Linked DNA regions of Lonchura striata. The protein of the gene in region 2 binds, or shares a complex with, the protein of the main gene of each other region. Links are inferred from orthologs where the notes say so. Each region holds a gene or a part of one and is shown on either strand. Other genes may lie near its edges. The genes, in order: CD81 and adhesion G-protein coupled receptor G1.

Region 1 (9,526 bases), on a different chromosome or scaffold from region 2:
GGTCAGGTGCCACCCAGTGAAAGCGTTACCGTGGGACAACCACCACAGAGAGCTGCCACCTCCCATCACTAACACCAAGTATCTCTGTGCAGGCTTTGCAGACTCCAGGCTACAGCTAACAGATCTTCTGGGGTTGCACAAGAAAACACGCAGCTCCTCTGCCTCTTCCCTTTCAATCACCCCTGTCCAGACAGACTCTCACTTCCATCTTCCCTCTGTTCTTGCCCTTCCTTCCCTTTGCACCCAGGCTGTACAACACCCTCAACACACAGAAGAGTTAGGCAGTGCCTGGAAAATGGCATTAGGAGCAAGCTCTTCCTTTTAATTAGACACCTCTCTGCTAGGGCAGCCAGCAGTGCTCTTGACCTGGAACACTGCCATGGGCTGTATTAGCTAATAAGCTTGAGCAATCTTTCTCCAAGCAAGTCAATTCCTCCTTGGTTATGTTTAATTATATTTTAAAATAGTTCACTGGCTTCCTTCAGCCTCCCCAGGGACCCTTTGCAGCAGTGGTCAGTTCAGCCCCACACACTGAGGTCTGCTATAAGGTTTGGAAAATTCAGGAGAGCAGTCCTAAGTGGAGCCATCCCAGTTGTAGGGATGGGATGGAGAAGCAGCTCCACCTGCCAGATGGCCAGCCCTGCCTGGGCTGCCCATCACACCAGCCAAACTGCCCAGTAACAGCTACTGCTCCCTCTCACAGGGCAGGGTGTCCACTCAACACCAGCCACTCCAGTTTCAGAACAACTTGGCAGCATAGAAGAACTTTTGTCTTTTCAGCCCTATGTTTTGCTAACCAGGTGAAGCCCACAGGTGCTGACCATGGCCTCCTCCACCACTTCAGTAGGTGGGTGCCACTGTGAAACACCTGGGGACCCTCTCTCCTGGGACAAGCACTCATTTGTACACGTGGTCCATGCAGCAACCACTGCTCCCTTGAGAGCCACCCTTGGAGCAAGCACAATCTTGGCATCTTCTTCTCAAGAATGCATGCACAAAGGACAAGCAATCCCCCCCCCCCCCAAAAAAAAAAATCAAATAAAACAGAAACATCTCAGGTACAATGAACGAGGAGCTGGCAGCAGGGTCACCTTTTCCTTTTGCTTTTTCAACACAGAAGCTTTGTGAAATTTCCCCTGTGCTGTCAGGGGAAGGCAGGGGGAGGAAGCCAGAGGGGAGTCAGTTTATTTACACTCCAGCAGGATAGCGGGGCTACATAAAAAACTTATCAGAGTAACTAAGGCTGAGAATTGCTTCCTTCTTCCTCTTGGGCACTAGAACAAGCTCCTGTGCAGCTCAGCATGGTGCCTGCCAAACTTTGGGCTCTACCTCTGGCTTGTTTTCATCAACAGCACCCAGCAGCAGCTGCACACAAGGCAAATCATAAGCAAATAAGCACGGCGAGTCCATCAGCCCTTACATAATAACCAGCTGGCGGACTAAAGGGCTGCAGGTGCCCTGTCTCACACCTCCCTGTGGTTAGAGGTGGTTTCCCAACACAGCCAACCTGCAATGAGGGTGGTCACTACATTCAGTCCTTAAATGTCACCCTGCAAAAAGGACCGTCGTACTTTGCTGTTAAGCACAGAATCCCTCCCTAGTTGGGGGTTCCAGGATGGCAGCTAACCTACCTTTGTGGTAAACCCTCACTACTAGTTCAAAAAACAACACAAAAGGGCTTGAGAACCCCATGATCTGGTATTCAACCACCATTCAGCTGGCTAGCCTCACAGAAAGCACTGTTAATTCTAATCAAATCCAGGCTCCCAGTCTGCACAGGAGACAGTGCAAGCGGACCAGCAAGTCCAGCACTGGGAGCTGTTTTGGGGAGCCAGTGGGTCCCAGCTTACAGGTACCCCTCTTGGGAAGGAACTGAAGCATCTACCCCCACTCACAGGGAGCACCCGCCAAAAGGGTAGGGCAAGGCACCAGATGTCATAACAGGGAAATTATACAGATTGGCAATTTGGCAATTCCTCTTGGAAGCAAAATGCCCATTTATAAAAGATCAACTCTTTTACAGGACTTTGAAGTGAACAACTGATCCTGCTGAGAAGCGGTGGCTGTGCAAAGCCCCCAGCATCCTTCCTGCCACCCAGGAGACCCTTCCTCACAAGCATAGCCGGCTGTTTCTTTGACAAGAATGGCAGGAAATCAGGACCAGAAGGCAAGGAAAAAAACTGGGATAAGCACGGTAACTCGGAAGGAACAACACTTCACAGACAACCATACCCGCCTCCATCCGGCCATTTTAAGGGTGGAGGAAAAGGTTAAAAAAGAACAACCCGGAATTATCCCTCATTCATGCAGCTGGCAACACATCAGGTATCAATTAACACAGTTGATATCAGAGCTTGTCTTCTCCCCCTTGGCCAGTGTTATACCCAGACACAGGACGAACAGGCCTGAAGTGAACCTTGGTTAAGCCCTACACCTCCCAAGGATGGGGACCCCGCAAAGAGTTTCCCCAGGCATCCCCAGGGAGGAGTCAGCAGCCAGGTGCCAACTCCAGGTGCCAAAGCAGGGTTTGCTCTAGAAGCCATCGGTCCCTTTTGCACTTCTCCAACCCCCCTTGCTACATTCCCAGCTGTAAGCAAGCACTGAGGAAGAAAAAAAAATAATCCCAAATCCTCCACAAGAGAGCGGGATGTCAGACAAGGGGCACTGGACAAGGGGCATCCAAGCGGTGCCTTGCCTGCCAGGGTGGGGCTGAACTCACTTCCAAGACAAAAAAGCATTCCGTGGGATGGAAAGCAGAGTGTTTAAAACACGAAGCCAGCAGCCTGTTCGGGCATATCTGGCTGCCCCCGGGCGCAGGAGCAGGACACTCCTGCCAGCCAACCTCGCGCTGCCGGAGGCTGTTCTAACCGGGGCAAACCTGGCTCGCAGGGAAACCGGGATACGCCGCCTTTTGCTAAATTAGCCGCACGTCTGCATGGATTATTTCAAGCAAAACTTTCTCAGGAAAGGCAGCCTCTTCAGCCTGGACAGAATTTGCATCCTAAAATAACTTCCCGGGCGGCGGGGGCAGCGGTGCCGGCGCGGCCGGGTCCCGGCCCCGAATCCCCCGCATCTGCTGAGCGCCCCCTCCGCTGCGGCGGGCGGCTCGGCCGGCGCCTCCCTCCCTCCCCTCCCTCCGCCTGGCAGCATCCCTGCATCCTCCCTCCCTCCTTCCCTTCCCCGGCTGGGCAGCGCCGCTTTCCCCGCAGCAAGAGGGGCTGCGGGAGCGCCCCCCGGCTCTGCCCCCCGCCCCCAAAGGCGCCCATAAACATCTGTAGCGGCTGGACGCGAGCATCTTAAAGGTCTTCTGCAAGCTCAAACCATCCTACGATTCTACCTCCCCCTCTGCATATCTATTTAAAAACAGACATAAATAGATATGCATGTACAGTTACATATGCATGCATTAAAAGGAAGGATGATCAGCCCCTTCACCCTCCAAAAAAAATTTAAAAAAGGAAAAAAAAGCAGCCCCTAAGGCACATCCTAGACAGCAAGTCTCAATGCTGGGGGACAAGAAGGAGGCTAAAGCCAGGCGCAGGCAGACGAGCAGTATTGCAGCCCCCTTATTTAAAGGCTGGGAGGGCTCATCCCCCGCTTCCCGCCACCCCTGTGCTCACCCAGAAGATGAAGTTGAAGACGAAAAGGAGGTATTTGATACACTTGGTGCAACCTTCCACTCCCATGGCGACGGCTCTCCCAAGTCTGCGCTGCCTGGCTGAGCGAGGCGGCGGCGGGCGCAGAAATCCCGCCCCGCCCGCGCCCCGCCCCGGAATCGCCGCTGGGACACGCCCCAGGAACGGGGCTGGCACCGGCACCCCCTCGCCTTCCCGAAACTGGGGGTCGCCTGGTGTTTCCTCCTTTCTTACATCATTTCTTTCCTTTCCTTTTCTCCCTTTTCCTCCTCCACTTTTCCCAGTTTTTTTCCTAACTCTTCCATTTTGCTTTCCCCTATTTTTCTATTATCTGCCTTTTTTATTTTTCTTTTTTCTTCCTCTTTTGAATTTTCCCTCCCCTCCTTTCCCCCCTTATTTAATTTTTAGTCTTCCCTTCCCTTCCCTTCCCTTCCCTTCCCTTCCCTTCCCTTCCCTTCCCTTCCCTTCCCTTCCCTTCCCTTCCCTTCCCTTCCCTTCCCTTCCCTTCTTCTTTTTTCCCTTATTTCTTTCATCTTCAGTCCTTTTTTTCATCTCTTGCCCCCTCTTTTTCTTTTTCCCCCTTTTTTTATATCTGCTCTTATTTATTTCTTTGTTTTCCCCATCTTCTCACCCTCCAGGGGCAGCTCACAACAAAGTTTCCTACGCACAAGTAGGAGCCACGGGGGCAAGTGTTGGGGGGCTGTAGGAATGTTACCTCCCAAACCTGACCTCCATCCCTTAAAACTCACTGTCACCTCCTAAACATCACCAGGCAGCCTGGGGTGCAGGGAGAAACCTCTGGGAATAGGTTGCAGGAGGTTTTGCATTTCTATACAGAAAAGTTTGAGGGTGCATTCATGAGAGGATCCCCGCCTCCCCCTCCAAAAAAATAGAGCAAAGATCTTTTGTATTAAAACTATCAGTTTGAAATTCAGAGAAGCGTTTCCTTCTTTCCCCTTCTTATTTTAGCTCTAAATCTGCTCTGATGAACAGTTTTTGTCTAAGCTTCTGGCTTTGGTACTGCAAGCAATTGCATCAAGTTCAGTAGAACCACTTGGGATGTTTTCCTTTGGTTACTGGGTAACAAGAGCATCAGGGGGTGCTCAGAGCTGCCCACCAAAGAGAGTTCCCTCTTTTTTTTTAAATTTCTTTTTTCCTTTTAATTTCTTACTTTTCCCATTTCCTTTTATTCCTCTTTTTCCCAAAGAAAAGTAAAAAAAAAAAAAAAAAAAAAGGGTCACACATATCAACAGGCTTGGGAATTTTAGTTAACCTCTTCCCCTCTCAAAGCTACACAGTAGAAGAATGATGGAATTTCCCGTGCTTTCAGCTGAGGCCCACTTTGGCCCATCCTTAGAAATATAAATTGTTCTCACCCCGTGTTATGCTTCCAGGAAGCTCATTCACTTCTCCAGAGGCAGGGTGGTAAGTCACACAACCAGAGCATAGGAGGATGTCTGGAAAAAGCATCAGTGAGCAGCTCCAGCCAAGGTCAGCCCCTCACTGAGCTAAATATGAACCTGGCACCCGCCTGCAGAGTCAGATGGGGAAACCTGCCCTCCTCCTGCCTGGGCACTTCCCGCCAGTGAAGGATTTCAGGGAACAGCTTCTGAGCATTTGTACACTCTGATGGAGTCTTCCCAGCCATGCATCCCATAGTCAGGAATGAGCTGTTAGCCATCACACATTTCCTACACATGCATGTTGAAATCGAGTCAGCTTCTTCCAAAATCATCCCATTGCCCTCAGGGGTGACTTGGTCCAGGGCTTTGTCATGTTCATCAAAACTTTCTGTGTCCCTCAGTAACAGCCCATGCACTACATGGCAGCAGGGACCAGGAATGAATAGAAGTTGGCTCCATTCCCTAATTACTTATGCTGAGTATGTCCCTGATTGTGGGCTTGCCATGGATTCATAACCCCTTTGTCTCTAAGCCACATTCACTCATCCAGACTTACCAACAAAGCCGGGGGCTCACCAGGCTATTTATGCATGTAACTGCTGTCCCGAATTATCAGCATGACCCATCTGGTTACAGCCATAGCTGTAATCCTGTGTGGCTCCTGCTCATCAGTCCAAATGATAATGGCAGGATCCCAAAGCTGCTCACTTGCTCCATCACAGTGTCCCACAATATCTTCTTTTCTGCACCTCCATCCTTTACAGCTACAAATAGCAAAACAACCCCCCCCCCCCCCCAAACAAAAAAACAGAAAAGAGAAGAAAGAGAAAGAGAAAGAGAAAGAGAAAGAGAAAGAGAAAGAGAAAGAGAAAGAGAAAGAGAAAGAGAAAGAGAAAGAGAAAGAGAAAGAGAAAGAGAAAGAGAAAGAGAAAGAGAAAGAGAAAGAGGAAAGGAAAGGAAAGGAAAGGAAAGGAAAGGAAAGGAAAGGAAAGGAAAGGAAAGGAAAGGAAAGGAAAGGAAAGGAAAGGAAAGGAAAGGGAAAAGAACCCTAGAGGTCAATACCAGGAGTCTATATGAACCAAGAAGCCTCTCATGCACTTAGGCAGCTGCTCCTAAAAAAACTCTCAGAGATGCTGCTTGGAGAGTCTGGGAGTGGGAGAGGAAGGAACCAGTAGCAGTAAGGCCTTCAGCAGCAGCAGCCCCACCACCTATGAGGGAAAATGTCTATCAAATCTCTCAAATCATCTGTTGTGCACTGGAGAGCAGTGCAATCACTGCCACAATGTTGGCATTGAGACTGCTTCCAGGGAGCTTAAGATTGCTTTTTTTTTTGGTGTTGTTTTTATCCTGCTCACTGTGGCTTTTCTTTTCTTACTTTCTGCCCTGTTTTCCTCCTGTGTTGGGGAATGAAGGAAAATGGAAAATAAGAATTAATTTTTTTTGTATCCTCCTGAAACTGTATTAGGCAACAATTTGTTTTGGAGCCAACAGAGTTCTGTTTCTGGGACCTTCCTTAAGGAGCACATGTAGCTCAGGGACAGCTGTGGCCCTGGCAGGGGCAGCAGGGCCACAGTCCCACCATCTCCTTCAACAAGAAGCTCCCAGTTACAGCCTAAAGCCTACTGAGTTTAAACTTGCCATGCCAACAAAAGTTGGAAGTGGAAAAGTATTTCAAGGTTTGTCTTTTCTGTTGTTGTTATTTTAAGCAGCTCAGCTGGGTACATTTGAAAACTTTGGCCTTTAGGTACAGGAAGAAAAATGCAATCACCATAGCGTAGTGACAAGATAACAGACACCATTTCCCAGGACTGTGTGTGATTTCAGGTGTTGTACACTCATTTCTCATGTTTCATACTCATTTCTCACACTGCATTACTTGCTGTACAGCCTATAAAGTATCACAACTACCTTTCCAAGGCTCTCAGTGGCTTTACCAGCTCTTTATAAATAAGTAAAGCTAATTTGCAAAAATTCAGTTTGTGTCTGGGTGTCACATGCCAGTATTGAGTGTGAGTGCTATGAATAGGGCTGATGACTTCCCTCTTCAGGAGGAAAAGCTAGTTCAAGTGCTCAGAGGTTGAAGTCACAGAGCAGCCAGCTGCAGGCAGGGCTGTGAGAAAGCTACCTACCTCCCCCAAACCTTTCATCCCTGAAAGAAAAAAAAAAAACAACCCTCTAAAAATATTTTTTAAAAAATCCCCCAAACCCCGAATTAAAAAAATAAACCAAGCGTCTGTTTGAATGTGTGTCTGCAATTAGGTCTGCAGGCAGAATGAAGCAGCTGAGAGAGGAGGCACTTGCAGTGTTTTTTTCTGTCTGTTTGGCTTGGGTTGTTGGGGTTTTTTGTGAACCTGTTTATAAAAGCCAGTGTCATTCCTGGGGGTTTTGGCACCCCTGGGTATGACTCACCAGGGTCCGTTAGAGCAGATGCTGCCTCCCAGTCCGAGTTTAGGAGAACATCCCTTACCAGCGGGACTCGGCAAACCCAGCCCCTGGGGCTTTGAGCCTGATTACCCCTCAGAGATGCCCACCTGCCTTCCAGCAGCTTCCCCTTAAAACCCTTTTTGTTTTATAAAAAGTGAAGGGGGGATGGGGGAGAGGATAACACACATCGTCTCCTGCTCTCACACGGGCCTGAAGAGCTGAGGCAGGCTCTAAACACCTACTGACCGGTCTCCAGGACATCTGGGAGAGCAGATGGGAATCCCTTATCCACTGGGGTACTCTGGCTGCATGCTTTGGGCTTGCATGACAACCCCCCTGCCCTCCTCAGCCAGCTCAAAACTGACAGATAAACCATGGGGGGAAAAATGTCATTTTGCTGGTGAGGTCCTAGTTAGCTTTTAACCACCATTTCTTATTTTTATTGCAAAGTACTACAGAAATAGCCTGAATTTTCAATTTACCTCTGGTGGTAAAAAAAACAAAACCACCAAACAACAGCAGCATTACCAAAGATCTTTAAATAGGACATTTTGGAGATGCATGATAAGAAACTCAGAAATTTGTTCTGTGGGAGGTTAATAGTCCCAGAGCACTCAGGGGTAACTTCCTTGGCAGCCAACACCCCACAGTGTTGTTTTTCAAGGAAGAGACTTCAGCAAAGGCAAACTGAAGTGTATGTACTGGCCTATGGAGCTTAATCACCTCAGGAGAGACCTGTCTACACCCCTGGGGAACCAGCCAACACCTTCATTTTAAGTAGAAAAAACACTGTATGAGGGATCTAATCCCCAAGTCTAAGGGGACATTTTCAGAATACCTTTTCTGTGCTCCAGCAGGAGAGGATGGTGCCTGCTTATCCAAAATTCCCATGCCCATCCCTACAAGCTGAGTCAAAGCACTGTGACAGCGCAGGGGGTTGCACTTGCCTTGCAGCCTCAGGGGAGAGGGATGCAGCAAGCAGAGACCTGTAGCTGAGCCTGAACTTTCTGTTTCTAATAAACTGAACAAATGGTTCCCATCTGCCTGGCCTGTCTCTCTGCCATCTTTAAATATTTATATCAATGTATCTATGGTGATAGGTCAGGTTATATAAGGGGGGGGGGGGGAGGACAGCATCAGCTCATGCTGGAGCTCCAGCTGAGGGAGTGAATACCCAAGCAGGCTTCCTATCCAAGCAGACGCTCTCTCTTCTTAGCTCATGAGCCCAGAAAGTGAACATTCATTTTTCTCAGGGCATCAGAGAAGACTGAGTCACAGCTGGGCTGAGCTGTGCTTTGGGAGGTGCCAGAGCCCAGCCCATCACAGCAGAGAGCTCTTATTGTATAATTAATGTATAATTCATTAGTAGGTGAATAAAGACTGGAATAGTTTATTGCTGATGTAATAGGGCTAAAAAGAAACCAAGCACGTCCGTGAGCAAGCTGCTGCACACAGGGGTTAAACAATAGCACATAGTGATGCTGAGGGGAGACGGGGATTCTGTCTTGGGATAATATAAACAACCCAGCTAACTGATTGCCAGTGACTTCAGGGTGAGCAACACAGGGATATGCATTTTCCTGTCAAGAAATACTGGGAAGGAAATTTCTTCTTTGCTTGCTGGAGTCTAAGGGAATAGCAACTAGCAGACAGCAGGGCTTTAGCTGTTGGTGAGAACCTCCAGGCTTGTCTGAACATATTTCTCCCAAGATGTGCCACTTCCTTGCAAGCTGAACAACCAACACATATATCTGTTCCAGATAAAGAGGTGGGGTTTTCCCCTTGACCCTGCTGGCAGGGGTAGATATGCAGTTTGCCTCCAGGTATGAATCTGCTGAGGCACCCCCAAACGCCAAGTGATGAAAGTAGCAGTATTTTTTGTGAGAGGGATGGCATGATGGGAGTGGAGTGGATTCACCAACAGGCCTGTGGTCAGTTATGGGTTTGACAGCTCTGGCCAAAAGCTGCAAAACACACACAGCCTGTGTTTTTCCAAAACAGCCTCTGAGGCTTCTCCAGAACGCTCCCTCTTCACTCCCAGGCTCTTCCCTGCTGTCCCACACA
Region 2 (9,481 bases):
GCCGGTATTTCCCCTCCGAGCCCTGTACAGTCCCGCTCACCCCAACTCTGATTGCCATTTCCTGAGCTAAACAATAGCAAGAGAAAATCCCCTGAAAATGGTTTCACAGTGAGAAAACACAGCTTCCATCCACGCTGGCAATGAGCACAGCAAAGGTAGCCGGATGGGCTGAGTTCTCGTCAGGGCTGAATCCTGCCTCGTCATCTCCCCATACCCACATGGCAGCAGGGAAAAATTCCTGGCTTGGCCTCAAAATCAACCAGATTATGTACAAAGAGGTGGCAGAGACTCTTCCAGGGCTGCACAGCTTGGAGCAGGCTCCCTTATCAGCAGAGAGGCTTATTCCTGGGCACTAATTCTTATCTTCCCATCACCATTAAGATACTGGTCTTGGAAAGAAAAGCCAAAGCATTATATTGAGGCCTCTAAACCTTAGGTGAATGGGGGGAAAAAAGACTAAAAACCCCACAAACAAAAAGCCTGGTGTTTACTTCCACCTTACTGCTTTCTGGGTGACTTGGCAGCACACATTTAAGTTTTTAGAGGTGGCACGTGGCTTTTGGATATGACATTTTTCCCAAGGAGAAGGGAAGATGCTCTGATGACTCAAACAAACACCGGAAGCAGGGAGATCCAGGAGCTTTTATCTGTTTTCCTTCCAGGTCCGTTAGGAAAGTGACGCTCTGTTCCTCGAGATGTGAATGAGTCAAGTTCATCACCGCAGTTGGTTACTCAGGCAGGGACTCAGCAGCATAATGAGGAAGCTGGCACAGAGAGGCAAGCCAGAACGGGCTCCTGGAGATGCAAAACAGCTTTGCACAACCAATCCCTCATCGTAGGGACCAAAAACAAGGTTCCCTGGGTCTGGAACTGTCCAAGGATGGGGGTGCCCCTGCAAAGGGATGCCCCAGTGTCAGTATCTGAGAGCTTCACAAAGTGCCCTTGTCCTTGGGCAGTGGTGCGTGCCCGCAGGGCCAGCCACGCGTTATTCATGGCATTGGCATGTGATTCCCGGCACCGGGGGGCGGCCGGGGCTGACCGGGCGCGTTGGCTCAGGCCCAAGGAGTCGAGGGGCAGCTGCACTGTGCCAGCAGCCTGGCAGTGCCAAGCTGTACCATGGGGTGCCGCAGCTTTTCCCAGGCCGTGGCACTGCACAGAACTCCCAGCACCTTCAAGATGGGTCTTGCCAACAGGATGAAACCAGATCTGATGGTGATTCTCACGGGAAAGATCCCTGCCAGGTCTGTTCTTTGCCAGCCACTGGCAGCCGTCCCTTCCCACAAAGGCCTGGGGAGAACCAAGGGGAGGCTGGCACAGGCGCCTGCCAGTGCCTGGGGCTCCTGAGACAGAGCTTTTTCTTAGAGCTGGGTCTTGACATTCAAATCTTTTTTTTAAATTTCCATTTCCTAAAAAACACCACAAACAGAAGTATTACAGTGAACTAACCCAGCACTTCCTCCAGCGCCAGGGCAACACAACACCTGGTTCGGCAGCATGCGAAGCCTTGTGGCTTCAGCAGCAGCCACACTCACTCTGCAAAGGACCAGGTGCACCTACACTGGACTGAGGCTGACGTGACACAGCGACAATGCAGTGCAAGGACATCTCTGGCCACAGGGATACAGCCAGTTGTCCCTGCCACACACTCCCACCATGCAGTCTTCTTTGAGAGCAACCCTATTTCTCCTCCTGCACATCCCCCTTCCAAACCACTCCTTTGGCTTTCAAGTGGCTCCCAAAACACCCGGTCCACTCCCAGATCTTATCCCCATTGACATGAGCAAGGTCCTCATCACCTGCCTGTTCTGCAGGTGCCAGGGAAGGGGGGTGCAGAGCAGTGCAAAGTAGCTCAGGACCACCCCAAATCAGGTTCCCAGGTATTTGGCACAGAAAACAAGGTGCTGGAGCCTAGTGAGGGCAAAGTCTGCAGCACCCAAGGAGCCAGGTAACAGACTGTGGGCCTCCCAGATTCCTGCCAAACCCCAGCTGTCGGGTGAGCTGATGGGAAAGGAGTTGGTGAGTCCAAGAGCTCCTGAAAAACAGGCGCCAGCAGGCTGTGCCCAGCTGGTCCCGTGCAGACATTGGCACGCTGGGAGACACCCAGCCTGCAGTCTGTAAACCACACAGCCCTGACCCTGCACCCTCGGGTGCCACTGCAAGGTGCAGGCATGGCCTATCTCCGGGATCCCCCGTTCAGGCAGCACACAGTTGCTTGCAAACCTGTTACTCTGCAAATAGCAGCCCCCAGGCCGCAGGATTAAGAGCTGGACTGCAACCAAGTATGCAGCATTTTCAGTCCTTGGCTTAATTCACATGGGAGCTGTGAACCCAGCAAGGGACACGGCAAACCCCACTGTGGCTGCAGTTCCAGGCTCAAAGGATTTGGGTTTTGCCCCCCCCCCCCCCCCCATCTCTGAAACACTCCTGGCTCCCCACTGGTGGTGGAGCTTGGGGGGAGGGGGGGGGTGGGAGGGTTTCTGCAGCCCTCAGACCATGAAATGAGCTTTGGCTGCCTTCCCTCCACAACAGCCATTCGGATTTGCTGCCAGGAGGTTATTCCAGGAGACTTCATTTCAATTCTCCTGCTGGTCTCACTGAGTTTTACTGGTCTCTCTGGAGGGGCAGCACAGACAGTGGGTAGAGAGCACCCCAAGCATCCTGCATCCCATATCCTGCACCGACATGCCAGGACCGGCAGCAGCAAACTGGGATGTTGCAGGAGGAATCCCCCAAAAGGCATTTTAGGGAAGGGAGATCACCCTGTCGAGGCATGCCAGCGATCCCATGGGATGCTGCACCCTCCGCCGAGGAGGAGAGGAAGGAACGGGGTGTGCTGGTGGTTCCCACAAAGTGCCAAGCAATGGCCACACACCGGCCGACGGCCGGGGCTTCGTGGAGCTCATCTCTGCTGCTGGCAGCAGCCCGGAGCAGCCGGTCCGGGACAGCTCGGGAGGCTTTGTGGCTCCACGGCCCAGGAATCCAGCCTGGCTCCGGGGCAGGCGAGTGCGAGTCCCATGGAGCAGGCATGAAGGCTGGTTTCACAGATAACCGGCACCATGGCCACGAACGGAATCCCAGGGCCGTGCCCAGCCGGACACATCACACCCACCGCGGAGCCCCCGCACCGGGACCGGGGTGCTGCTCAAGCCCCCCATAGAGACCCCCCGCTCCATCCCTCCATCCCTCCAGGCTGCTCCCTGCCCGAGCGAGCCGGGGCGCTGCCCGGTGCCCCGCCTGACGCCCACCCTGTCACTCCTGTCCCGCCCGGAGTGCCGCAGCATCCCCTCGGCTCCCGGTGCCGGACCGACGCCCCACGGCGGACACCGGGCTCCCCGATCCTCCCTCGTCCCGGCTCACCCGCTCCCCGTTGTTCCCGTACCTGGAGTCGGAGCGGGCTCGGCTCGGCACCGCCCGGCTCCGCCTGGCTCCGCTCGGCAGGGCTGGCACGGCTCGGCACGGCTCGGCTGGGCTGGCACGGCTCGGCACGGCTCGGCACGGCTCGGCACGGCTCGTCTCAGCACCACACCTCGCAGCCCGCTCGCTCAGCGCGGTGCCCGGAGCAGCGCCCCGCCCCGCCCCGCCGGCGGGCGGTGACTCAGCGGGGCGGTACCGGGACCGAGCCCCCCGCACCGACCCCTCCGAGACCCCCGCGATCTCTGCGGGAGCCGCGGGGTCAGCGCCGCCGCTCACGGCACCTGCCCGGTTCTGCTCGGCCCGGCTCGGTTCGGCTCGGCACGGCACGTCACGGCTCGGCGCCTCGCAGCCCGGCTCGGCTCAGAGCGGTATCCCGGGACCAGCGGCCCCACCCCGTCCCACGGCACGGCACCTGCCCGGCGAGCCCCGGGCCGGCAGCACCGGGGGCACCACGGGGGGCTGCGGGACTCGGCTGGGGACAGCCGGGCGTGCCGCGTCCCGCCGTCCTTCCCTGCGGGCTGGCGGGCGTCCAGCGGCGGGCCGGGCCGGAGGAGCCGGAGCCAGCAGGCTGCACGCCTGACTGCCAACGGGATTAAAAAATAACAATTAATGGGAAAGCAGCCGGGACGGAGTGTCCCGGTGACCCCTGTCCCACTCCCCGCACGGTGTGAGGGAGGAAAGGAGCAGGGCAAGGAGCCCAGATCCAGGAGAGGGATACACGGCACTCCCCTGGAGCAGGTGGGCTGGGATGTGGGGTGTAGAGCCTGGATGTGACCATAGCGGCCCCACCACCCACCCCAAGGCTGGAGATGGGCACGCTGGCCCCCGGTGGGAGCTGCGATTGTCGAGGCAGGGCTGGCGGAGCGGGTATCGCCGCTGCCAGCAGCGCCTGAGCCCAGCCCTTTGTGTGTGCCCCGGGAAACAGCCGCGCTGGAGAAAGCCGAGACGCGGGCAGGGCCGGGGGGAGAGCTCCGGGAAGTGCCCTGAGTAAATAGTTGTTCTTGCAGATATTTTCAATAGCTTGAATGAGACTTTTCTTTCTGCAGGGGGGGGAAGGGTGGAAACAACTTTCCGCCCCAGCCAGAAAGGTGATGGACCTTGATCCACAAGAATTGTGCCACCGCAGGTGCCATGGCTGCTTTGGGATCCCTGGAGCAGAGGACATCCCGCACGTTTGCGTCACCCCAGTGCTCGGTTTAATTTCCACAGTGCTCGGTTTAATTTCCAGCTCCAAGCCCAGTTTCCCTGGCTGCCACGGGACGAGGCTCCCGTGGGAAGCAGCTCACGCGGCCGGACCGTGCCTAAAAGGCCGGACCGTGGCTAACAGAGCTGCCTTTGAAGTCCGGCCGTCCCCACGCCTCGGGGAGCTGGGCGAGCTCAGAAACGCACGCTCCAGCAGCCAGAGCCGCGGGAGCATCGCGGTGAGCCAAGCCTCGCACTGCGGGTCATCCCGACCGGCTCTCTGGGGAAACGCCATAAATCCACCTCCTGGGAATAACTCGGCTAAAACCAGGATTAGGCTCTCCTGGGGAGGGGAATTAGGTGCAGACCCCTCGGACCAGTGAGGAAAGGACTTTTTGCTGCTGTTCGTGGAACAAAGAGTCTTTTGTCTGCATTCCATGCTATCAGGAGTTATTTTTAGGTCAACGCCTGCAGTTGCTGGTGTTGTCGGGATTATCTGTAAATCGACAGACCTTCAAAGACACTGCCTGAGCGCGAAGAGGGAGGAAATCCTTGTGTTGTCTCTTGGAAGGGACATTTGCCCTTGGGCTCAGCCTGATAAGTGTTTATTGCTTGAACTGGGGAATTCCTATGAAAGCCCTACAACTTTTTAAGAGTCCTAAGAGCTCCTAAATCCATTAAAGCTCATAAATATGCTTAAAGTTCCTGAAAGTCCTAAAAGATCCTGAAAGCTCCTAAAGCCCTAAAATGTCCCAAAAACCCTACAACATCATAAAAGCCCTAAAACTCCGTAAGCCCTAAAAGTTCCTGAATATCCTTTAAGTTCCTAAAAGCCCTAAAAATTACTAAAAGCCTTAAGAGTTACTAAACCTCTTATAAGTTCCTAAAATCCCCAAGAGTTCCCAGCAAGCCCTGAAGCTCCCAAAACCCTTTCATTTTATTAAAAGCTCTAAAAGCTCCAAAAGAACCCGAAGACTTCCAAATCCTCTAAAAGCCCTAAATCTTGCTGAAAGCTGCTCAAGGCTCCGGCGGCGGGCGGGAGGGAGCGTGCCAGCAGATCGAGGGGATGGGCAGACTCCGGCAGGAGAGGGCACGTCGCACCGGGCTGCTGCCAAACGAGGGAGACAAGCGTGGGCAGGGGAGCCCTGGTGCCGTCTGCAGCCGAGGGCTGTGCCAGCCCCACTGCCCAGCCGTGCCAGGGTGCCCAGACCCACTCAAAGCCTCTTGGGTGTTGCCAGCAAAATGCCACCATAAACAGGGCTCAGGCCAACCGCGGTGGATGGAGGAGGAGGAGGAGGAGGAAGCAGAAGGGGGCTGGTGGGAGGGCATGTCCCTAGATCTCTCATCCAAATGTGGTGAGCAATGCCAGGACAGCCTTGGGAACCTCGAGGGTGGTGATGCTAGGGGAGTTTCTCAGCTACCTTTGAGGAGCAGCGGGTGCTCCTGCTTCTCCCTTGCTGCTGCCCCACCTCCCTCAGCCTTCCTCCTGGAAAAACATCCGGTGGGGAGGTGGGTCCACCGCTCCCCACATCGGGATTTCTCCCTCAATGATAACAGCGACACAACAGGTGCCAAGGCAGTAAAACCTGAACCCGTAGGCACAGCAGCAAACCCGGATTATTTGTTTAGGCTCGGCTTTGCAAATAAACCCCCGATGATGTCAGGGAAGTCTGGGGGAAAATTGGTCCCTGCGGGTGTCTGCACCAGGTGAGGATGCTCCCATGGGATGCACTAACTAGGCTCATCAGCTCTCCAGCAGACAAGTCCCAAAGGCAGATCCCAAAATGGAGCCAAGGTCTTCTCCAAACCTTCCATTTCCTGTGTGGATTTAGTGTCTTTCCTGGCTGCTTGTTTTCCCAAAATCTGTAGCATTTGCTATAATTCCACAGCTTTGATCCTGAAGCCAAGGCTGCCTCTGAAGCCTGAAGGCACTGTGGTGCCACCAACCTTCCTCTCCTGGGGAGAAAAGATGGCACAACCCCTCCAGCAGCCCAGCCCTGGCCTCCTGCCAGGCAAGGTGCCTAGAAATGGCAGCATTTCTCCTTGAGAAGATTACAGGGCCTGGGCCCTCTCACGCCCATGCCCAGGTGCTGGATGGAGCCAGCCCTGGCACCGTGGCACTGGCGGGGTAGGAAGCTCAATCCCAACCCGTGCTCCTTGGGGGCCTGGGGAGTGCTCCAACCCTGCTCCTGGTGCAGCAGGGTGGGAAAAGGGTGACCCCTGGGCACCAGCAGTGGGCTCAGCTACCCAAGAACCAGTATGTCCCATCAGTCCCCAAAAGGTGTAGCTCCCTGGGGACCACCCAGGGATGCTGTGTTCCCGCTGCCAGGAGGCAACCACCGAGTGATGATTGTTTTCCAAGCGCCACCGGATACCAGCAGCCAGCATGACTCACACTACAAACCCCGAAATCTGCAGATGGGGAGATGTCGCTGTCGAGGCAGGACGGGAATGAGAAGACTGACCAGAAGGCTGCTGAAAGTAAAACTCAGATTTATTCAAAATACACTGCTCTTTCATACAGAGCTTCATGAGGACCAACTCCATTGGTTCTGAAGTGAAAACAGCCCACAGCATTGGTGCAAAGTGCTTGACACACAGTGATAGAACTTAACTATAAACAATGTGAAAAACAAGAGAGATAAAGAATTATTTACATTCTTCTCCAGCTCTTCTGCTTCTGCCTGGCTAGAAACTCTCGTTTCTCTCTTTGGCTGAATCTGAGTCCCACAGGGAGAAAAGGGCACGCAAAGTGCTGGGATGTGACTCTGCCACGGCGGGGCTCATGGAGGAAAGTCGGGCACTTGGCATCCCACCAAACCCGCAGGCCTCTCAGTGAATAGCTGAAATCACCGCCGGAGCGGTGAGCCATGCACAGCTCATCCCCGCGCGGTGACACCGGGGCACCGCGGGGCCCGGGGGCTGCAGGGAGGGGACACAGAGCCCCGGCGGGACGGGCCTTTGTCCGGGATGCCGGCAGCCCTGACGGGAACGCGCGGCGCTGGCTGCCCTTTGTGCCTGGAACAAAGAACAACAGCCAGAGGCTTCCTTCGCTGTCCAGAAGCGGGAAGGAGCCAGAAAGGGAAAGGTCACTGGGCAGAGATGGGCAGTGTGTCCGGTGGCGCTCGGTCCCCTGCACCGGGCCAGAAACGGGCAGCACCGGCTAATGGCACCTCTCTGGCTCACCCTGCAGGTACAAGCGTGGGGACAGATGTGGGGACATCTGGACCCAGATGTCACCACAGGCGGATTTGCCATGCTGCGATGCTGGTCTGCATTCCAGCAGGCAGAGTGAGATGTCCAGCTCCAAAACCTCGGGCATCAAGAGAGGAAAAACCCCGGTAACATTTCCAGGTGATGTCTGGTTTATGCGGATGCACCACGGGCTCAGGGCTGACTCGCTGTCCCCACCTGATGGATTTAGTTCCCACAATTTGTCCTGGCTATTTATTTCCTCAGGCTGGATTGCTTCAACTCCAAAAGTGTTTGTCACCTTGAGGAGTTTTGCTTGGAGTCTGCCTTCCTCAGCGAGAGCGGGAGGAAAGCCGAGTATCAGTTCACTTACTCACTTCCCATCCTCTCCTCCACCCAAACTCGTCTGCCCGATACCAAGACAAAGCCGTGCTCACCCATTTTCCCGCCGCCCCAGGGGTGCAGGTGGGCTCCATCCCTGCGCTGGATTTGGGGCGAGAGGGAGGGCTTCTAGTGTGATGCTGTCGTGAGTGAAAACCCAGGGTGCGGGTGTTTTTGGGATGCCACAGCCTTACAGCCACTCCTGGCACCCTGCAGCCGTGCTGGCACCAAACGGATTTGGGGGATGTAGCCGGAGATCTCCCGCTTTTGTCCGTGCCTTGAGAGATGCGCAGCGGCAGCTCCTCAAGGGGGCTCAGAGGTCCCCTCCCGTTTGTCAGGGGACACGGGCACCGCTCACCGGCACCGCCGCGGTCCCGCATCGCCCCCGGCCGTCCCTGCGCGTTCATAGCCCCGATCTGGGACCATTCCTGCGATCCTTGTGCCATCTAGTGGGACCTGCCCCAACCACACGGAGGGGTGTCCGAGCGGCAGCAGACCCCGGCCAGAGCTCACCCGGCAGCGGAGGAGACCCACACGGGCAATCCGAAAGCGCTTCCGAAGAGAAGCAGTGGTCAGTGCTGGTCGCTAACAGAGAGACCACGGGCAGGGCGCAGTCCCCAGGAGACACAGCCCCCCAGCAGCAGCTCCCACCGCCCAGAGATTCGGCTTTTAGCCCCAGGGCTGTGCCCAGACTGCCCGGGATGCCCGCAGTGCAAGCTGTGCCTGGCATCCTTGCTGTGTCTGCAGGCAGCGCTGTGCCCAGCGTGCCTGGGAAACGTGATGTGCCAGGGATTCTGGGGTGCACAGGGTGCTGATCTCCACTCTCTGTGAAAGGACTCAAGAGATGGAATAAGTTTCTTCAGGGGAATTTTAGTTTGGACATTCAGAAAAGGCTTTTCACAAAGAAGGTGGTCACAGGGACAGGCTCCCTACAGAAGAGGTCATGGCATCAAGCCTGGCAGAGTTAAGGAGCATCTGGACAATGTTCTTAGTCACATGGTTTGCTTTCAGATTTTCCTGCAAGGAGCAGGGACTTCAAACTAAAGATAGTCCAATCCTGTGATACCACAGTTTGATGCCATTGCCAGGATGGAGCCAGCATACTCCATGACATCCCCAGTGACCACAGCACAGCTCTCCAGCAACGTTAGCTGGCGTAGCTGAGGGAACAAAGGTCTTTTTTTTACCCAAAATGGTTAGGTTTGCCCCAAAAGGCTTCATTTTGTGCTTCATTTTGGTTTCTGGGTCCAACTGCAGGGATGTGGCCATGTGCAGAGCTGTGGGGGGCAGGGATGACTGAGCCACACCAGTG

What was found.
Region 1: adhesion G-protein coupled receptor G1 (region 2) and CD81 share a complex: the UniProt entries of both Homo sapiens proteins name them as parts of the GPCR-tetraspanin complex. The link is inferred for Lonchura striata from reciprocal best matches to the Homo sapiens genes ADGRG1 and CD81.

Annotation. Positions count from the first base shown.
Region 1 is NC_134608.1:47,036,822-47,046,347, reverse strand, and holds the start of CD81 (CD81 antigen), read right to left. Parts: upstream 3,761-9,526; 5' UTR 3,687-3,760; coding exon 3,621-3,686; intron 1-3,620. UniProt on the Homo sapiens protein: Structural component of specialized membrane microdomains known as tetraspanin-enriched microdomains (TERMs), which act as platforms for receptor clustering and signaling.
Region 2 is NC_134615.1:17,338,351-17,347,831, reverse strand, and holds the start of adhesion G-protein coupled receptor G1, read right to left. Parts: upstream 3,505-9,481; 5' UTR 3,380-3,504; intron 1-3,379. UniProt on the Homo sapiens protein: Adhesion G-protein coupled receptor (aGPCR) for steroid hormone 17alpha-hydroxypregnenolone (17-OH), which is involved in cell adhesion and cell-cell interactions.